Linked DNA regions of Tribolium castaneum. The protein of the gene in region 1 purifies or fractionates together with the protein of each later gene. This does not show direct contact. Links are inferred from orthologs where the notes say so. Each region holds a gene or a part of one and is shown in the gene's direction. Other genes may lie near its edges.

Region 1 (4,273 bases):
TAAATTTCACTAAGTTTATCAGCATTTGATTTGGAATTAACAGCAATTTTTTTATTGTTTTGGAGGTAAGACTTTTTTGTATCTAATGCGTTCATTCATCAAGAATTTCAACACCATCAAAGTCAAATTCAGGTTTTGTTTCTTTAACATGATTAGCTAAGACTGTTAGATTAGTTTTACATTATAAATTTGATTACACGATTTACAACTAATTCGAAAAACTAATATTTTTTCCAGTTTAGAAGGTTTCTTATTTTAATTTGCTAAAGACTTGATTTAATGTTTTTTTGTTATAATAGATGACTAATTTCAGACAATCATGAATTAAACAGTGTTACAATTTTTTTCTGATCAGTGGGATATTTATTAATCTACAATATTTAAAAGAGTGAGTTTGAAGTTGAAGAAGTTATAACCGGAATTTTTACAATTTAACAAATTAAGTTGGTCATTGTTATCATTAGATAAAATTTTGTTGATTAAATTAAATGGATAATTATTAATTTATGAAATATATTTGGTGATGTTGAAATTTTCGGGAAGTAATTTTGGGTCATGAGACTTAATTTTTGCTGAAGAGGGTGATTTAAATAAAAATTTAAAATACGTAAAGAAGATGTTGGTTTAATGTGCCAATTTGTTCTAATATTATTTTCAGGATTTCTAATAACTTTTATGTTTTAAAAATATAGTAGGACGGTCGGTGGAGAGAAACAAGAGACATCAATGGTGGCTAAAGCAAGAAAATCACTTATTCCAACAACTTTAATTGTTAAGATGCATTGTTTTTATACAGTTTTAAGCCACTGTTATAATTTTTATAATAAATTATTTAATTGTTCCTGCCATCTACCTTAATTCAAAACAAAATTGAAACTTGCGCTGTTTATTTTTCTGTATTTTTTTCTATTAACATATTTGTGACCGTCTAATGTTCTTGAGATTCTTTTAACAAAGTTCTTCCGTGATTCTTATTGACGCTCGTCCATGAACCAGTTCATTTACCTTACAAGAAGTACAAATTGCATACAAAAACATGTATCGGAAAAACAAAACTCGAATGCATAAGTTACAAAAAAGCAAAATAAGCGAATAATATTGTTGCGTTTTAATGAAACGTTATAAAATGAAATAAATAAAAGAACAAAGAATAAAAAAATGCAGGCACCGTAGCCACTTCCGCGGCATTTCCATTCAAATTAATCAAGTACAAAAAAAATGACTTCACCAGTTACAGCTCAAGTTTAGGTTTAACTGTCTTACAGCTGTGGCCAAGAATTAGAGTTTTTAGTGATAAACAAAATATCAAAACGGAAATTTTGTATTTATTTTGTCAAATTTGAAAATCAAAGACAAAAGCGTCAGTCTCGGTCGGTAATTTGGCGCGCTTTGGCAAACGTCCATCCGCCATTTTCGTGATCACGTGACCAGTTACTAGTGCGTTGTGGTTTTACTGAATTATACAGGTATGGTTAACGTTGTCGTTTTCGATTGATTTAAGACCGTTAGTGAGTGCTTGTTGAGGTATGGTGTGCAATTTGGGCCCCAGCCCCCGATTTCCAGCCCTCGATCGAGTCAAATTTCTCCGAAATCGCGTAATTTCCTCGTTCTGTTTGGTTGTCATGAACTGCTTTACAAGCTCTGAAATGGCGTCCCTCCACATGGTATAAAAGCGGTCGTCGGCCACCGGGGGCTTCCATCCCGCCGTGCGCGCCCCAATTTGCCCCCAGAGCTGCTATTTTTCTCATCCGCCTCACGCGCGGCTAGCCCCCTGATGCCTCTTTGTTATTGCCGGAAAATCCAGTTATTTCGCAACGGCGGCGATATTTACTCTTCCGAAAAATATGTTACTCATTGAGTTTATTTTTTACAGATAGTTTGTAAATAGTACACTGTACATACTGTACAAATCATGAGTTCGAGCAATCGAACCACCTCTAAAGGTGGGAAAGGGTCAAAGACTGACAATAAAACACACAAATCAGATAAATCCGACACAGGTGAGTTCGGGGGGCTTTTTGGCAATGCGGGGACTAAGATGCGTGTCTCAGGGAAAGGCTCAGACAAGCAGCAAGCAAGCAGAGATAACACACATGCAAAATCAGAAGATCCTTTCATTAAGGACAAAGTGAAGAAGCTGATGGAGATGTCTCAGAGGTCTGAAGAGGAGGTTTGTCTTGCTCTACATGATTGCGACTATGATGAAAACGCGGCCATGAACATGCTTTTGGAAAATATGGGGCAAGTGAGTATTGTTTTAGTTTACTGCTCTTAAACTGATTCTTTTCGTAAATCGTGTAGTAAATAAATTAAAAAAAAGTTTTGTAGTCGCCCTACTCAAGCAGTTTATAGCGTTTCACAGAATTCACGTCTTTTCTGCCATTGTTTTGCTGGTGTCGCTAGTTGCTGTCAAAAACTCAAAACAAAACATTATTAAATCATTAAACAATAGGATATCTGATAAGCATAAGTAAACAACGTATTCTTCGATTTTATTGTATTGTTTTATTTAATAGTGAACTACGTAAAACTACTATCCTATCGTGTAAACTGGTAATAAGTAACGGATACTTATGGGAATTCTAGAAATTCTATTTTTTGTTAAATGTATATTTAAAACGTAAAATGTTATCTTAAACTTACTGAAATTAGAGAAAAAGGGAAAGACAGAGTGATAAAATATAAGTAGAATGTGAAATGAGAGTGGTTTATGTTTGAGGTTGCATTTTTTGGTTTTAATTTAGTAATAAAACTTCTCACACAGTTGTAACCTTAACTCGTATTATAATAATTATATGTTACATTTTTGAAAAAATAACCATTAAAATTTGGTTATTGTTAATAACTAAAAATTGTTTATTTACTATTCCGGAAATTACATCAATTTGTCATGGTCAAGGCTAAACGACGTGGCATCAACATTTAATGACAATAATTTTTTTCTTCTACTTTTTAATGGGATGTATTTGTAATACCATGGAGGAACAAAACGTTAGTTTTATTTTTTGTGACAGTAGCGAATAAAAAAATCTTAACTGGTTTCTTCCCATGGTCGTCTGGTTCCGTTTTTTAATAAGTATGTATTTTCCTTTCGTTTTTAATTTGGTGTTCGCGTAATAAGAAGTCTGGTTTTGTGTTATCAGGGTGAGTGGGAGACTAGAGTTAAGAAGAAAAAGAACCGCCAAGCGTCCGCCAGCAAGCAGGAAAAGATAGAGGAGTCTGCGGGCGGCGACGATTGGAACGACGTCCCATCTGCCGGCGGGGGCGGCGGTGCCGGCAACGGCAACGAGAAGGACAAACCGCGGAACAAGAGCGGTCCGCCTCGTCTCCACGGCCGACATAATGACAGCCGCGGGTGGCGTGGCCGAGAGAAACAAGAAAACGAGCGTAACCTCGAAGAGGGCGGCGGTGGCGGTCGTGATTTCCACCGCGATCGTCGCGGCAGACCTGGGGGATCGACGCGTGGTCCTGGAGGCGGTCGAGGAAGGGGCGGCGGACGCGCTGGAGGCAGATATCCGCCGAGGGGAAGTCGGAGCAACGCCTATAACAAACCCATCGACACCTGGGATAACTCCAACACGTGGGATAACAGCACGGTGGCCGCAACGAACCACACGGGTAAGATAAGGCGATAGCCGAGGAATCTTCTTCAATAGAAATTTTGATTTATTTTTCTTCGGCGTCTCATCAGGATAATCAATTAATGTATTTTTTTTAAATGAAATATTTTGCTTCTTCGGGAGGAAATAACCTACTTATATGGAATATTTGGATAGTGAAAAACATGATTTTTTTGAAAAAATTATTTTATGTATAACTTTGAATGAAAGTCTATTCTCTGCTTTAGATCATTCGTTTCTTATAATTTATAATTCTTATAAAAAGGTAAGGAAGATTAGGTGTGTTTCTTGCTTGAAATTACGTTACTGTACAATTAGTTTTTTTTAATAAATGCATACTTATCAATCTCATCATACATTCAAAAAGAATTTTTGGTGAAATATTTTAAATTTTCTTTGCAAAACAATTTTTAATCAATTTTCGTTCCTAGAGATATCAAAGTTTTCAGGAATTTGATTACGAAATGCATAATTCAATTTTTATGAGGAAAACGATGGGGAATTTACGTTTAATGTATTTACACTAGTGAATGAAACAGATAATTGGTATCTATAACTCGCTAATATGAATTTTTTTGCTATTATGCGGCGTTGAAAAAGTTCCTTTAAATAATTGAAATATATTTTTTATAATAGCCATAGATTAGATACTA
Region 2 (3,062 bases), on another chromosome or scaffold:
TCTAGCCCCTCCGGCGGTGCCCCAGGTCAACGGAGCCGTGCATCCTGACGATATCAACGTGATGCCCGGACCGGTGCCCCATGTCAACGCCGCGGGCCAAGGACAGGTCCTTCCGACACCCATCACCACCATCCAACCTTCGACGATTGTACCACCGTTGAATGCCGCGGCACCGGTTGAGGAAGCCCAGAACGAAGTCCAAAACGAGGAGCCGCAGGAAATTAATTACAATGAAGGGAACGAACAGGACAATGAACAGGATTTGAACCAAGAGCCGGGTTTGTCATTTTTGGAAAAATGTAGATTCTTGTTAACTTTTTTTTACAGTTGCGTCTAATGAACCCAAAACTTATGCCAACTTGTTGAAATCGGGCAATAGCGTACCGTTTAATAACCCACCTTTGGGTACTTCCCCGGCCCAACAACCACGATCTGTATCACCGGTAATGAAAACTAATCGTGTTTTTGCCAAATTTTGATTGTTGTTTTAGCCGAATATGGGGCCTAGAGGAGAACAAGGAGGCCTCGGAAACCGCAACAGCATGAACCGGGGACCTAGAGTTAACCAACAACGAGTCCAGAAGCAAGATTCGGGTCGCGGAGCCCCAGGCCGGCCCTCTTTTAACGAAGAAGGTACGTTTTAAATAATTTAGAATTACACGATCGTTTAATTATTTTTTTTTCAGATGATAGGAAACGACCTCAAGGAAACAGTTTCGGCGATCAAAACCAGCTGTTCTTGGGCAATTTGCCCCACAATGCGACCGAGGACGAGCTGCGCGAGATTTTCTCCGAGTTTGGTTCAATTCTCGACTTGAGGATTCACACGAAGCCGGCCAACAAAGTAACACTTCCCAACGGTCGCGCTCCACCAAACTACGGTTTCATAACTTATGAGACGCAAAGTGGTGTCCAGAATTGCTTAGCCGCGAAGGTAGAGCAGTTTAAAAAATAATGGTTTGGTTTGTTTGAGCTGTCTTTTTCAGCCGATTTATTACCCGAAGGATGACAAGAACGGCACTCAGTTGAACGTGGAGGAGAAGAAGACGAAGGATCGTCAGTCGTACGGGAGCGGTCGTCCGAGCAGCAACGATAACCGCTCGCGCGACTCCGGGCCTCGTCGGAGCGGCCCGGGCCTGGGGGGAGCCAATAGGAACAACGCAACGGGAGGGAGTCAGTCGGGTATAATCCCGAATCGGACCAATAACTACAACAGAGGCGGGGGACCCCCGAACCGAGGGCCGAACACTTACAATCGTCGCTAATAAGTGAACTTCGCGCGAACGAATTGTGAATGGGACGTGTACAGTGTTCAAGAACGGATCATGACGTTAGTGCCAATAGTGGTTCATTAGCTGCATATTTACATCAAACCATTTCTTTTTTTCTCTTGTTTAGGATTGTTGCGCAATGTCCGAAGCGATATCCGCCAATCAATACTAATAGTTCTCTTTTTCAAGTACTTATTGGCTGTGTTGTATAATGCGATTGGTTGATGAAAAAATCGGTAACGTTCGGAGGTTGAGTAACGATAAAAACAATGTTTCGAGCATAGTTTTATGGTTTGAACTTAAATATAAGCAGGTCACCACGGGTCGTACGTTACAATTATTTTACATAACCTAACAGCTGTATGCATGTTGATGTTAGTAGCTGCTAACTCGTAACTAAATTTTCTACTAGATACTTATTTTTTATTTTTTAATGCCAAATGTACATTATATAGGGAGTGTACATAAATAAAAATTTAAATTGAAAAAAATAGTCTTTTTATGTGAGCTGATATTAACGGAATCAGTAGAAAATTTAGTGTATTTAGCTTCTAAGGTCACCTATTCATATGGTTCTAAACATAATTTAGGATTTTGCGCTCGTATTTTCAGTTACTCTAAGTATTTATGTTTTTAAGGCTCATTCGGTTCTTTCTCCCGAAAATTATTTTATTCAGTTGTCAACACCAAGCGCAACGTAATTACTATGCACATTAGAAAAATTTTACTTTTTGCAGCTAACCAGTTTTGGTTTGATCAAAATTTTAAATCACTCAGCCGTCATTTTTTGTTGCGTACTCTTAAAGTGTTTGTGTCCACATTAAGTTAAAGTTACATGTGAATAAGTGGAGGGTGTAATCCCCATTTTATTTAAGGTAGCATGTGAAAGTGTTTTGTTAATTTTTATAAATTTGTCTGGTGAAAAAGTGGAATGTTATTTACAGGCTTAGTTTCACTTTTTTTTATTCCCTAAAGTTTTGTTACAGTATTTGTTCCTTTTCTCCTGTGATAATCACATTTCCTCTCAAAAGTATACTCGACACAGTTTTAACCAAAGTTCTTCCTTCGCTAAACTAAGACTTGTGCAGGTTCCACTAGTCACAAATCTACTTTCAGGATCTTTTCAGTTTGTCGTTCCTGTAATATTGTCAACTTGTTATTAGTAACATTAAAGGAAATTGTTACAGCGACCGCTGTTTTTCTTTCTCCCTCACACACACATCCTCAACTCAAAAAATTAAACATTAACAGCACTTGCATCGTTGGTTGCATACCTTCGCCACACGAAAAAAAACTACTATTTATTAATTTCAGTCTCAAGTTAATTTCATTGACAAAAAATACTTAATAAATGAGCCATAAACATTTTAATTTTTCTTAAAATTTAACGAAGGGGTCACCCTATATCTTCGAAACCAACATTCCGACTCAAAAATCTGGCTTATTTAATTCAGCTCAATAGCCAAAGCGCCAGTTACTTAACATTTGTTTCAACAATCAATTAAACTGATGTCACAAAGCGCTGTTTGATTAAAAAAACACATATGGGTCGTCCAGATGTTAACTTGTGCTTAAGCCCCGTTTAAATTTTACCCACGTCATAACAAGTTTATAAATTTATGATGGGAGGAAAGAGACGAGAGAGTGGGATTTGAGGGAATTTATCTCCGGTTTGTGGGCGATGCTTCTCTTTAGCCGCTTGCTGTAATTTATTCCAGTTGGTGTGGTGCTCGAAGGCGGCCACATAACAAAAACTGGTAAGTATGAATTACTTAATGTTGGCTTAGTTGC

The links. Proteins that work in one complex are often made in the same cells at the same time.
Region 2: the proteins of lig (region 1) and rin purify together in Drosophila melanogaster (affinity purification with western blotting; 3 studies listed by BioGRID, with this or other methods). This does not show direct contact. The link is inferred for Tribolium castaneum from reciprocal best matches to the Drosophila melanogaster genes lig and rin.

What each region holds. Positions count from the first base shown.
Region 1 is NC_087396.1:16,160,961-16,165,233, forward strand, and holds the start of lig (protein lingerer), read left to right. Parts: upstream 1-1,338; 5' UTR 1,339-1,466; exon of another isoform or gene 1,467-1,524; intron 1,525-1,873; 5' UTR 1,874-1,912; coding exon 1,913-2,000; intron 2,001-2,051; coding exon 2,052-2,245; intron 2,246-3,143; coding exon 3,144-3,618; intron 3,619-4,273. UniProt on the Drosophila melanogaster protein: Acts in the nervous system to mediate the control of copulatory organs during courtship.
Region 2 is NC_087397.1:6,616,721-6,619,782, reverse strand, and holds the end of rin (ras GTPase-activating protein-binding protein 2), read left to right. Parts: coding exon 1-278; intron 279-327; coding exon 328-443; intron 444-491; coding exon 492-633; intron 634-686; coding exon 687-934; intron 935-986; coding exon 987-1,265; 3' UTR 1,266-2,461; downstream 2,462-3,062.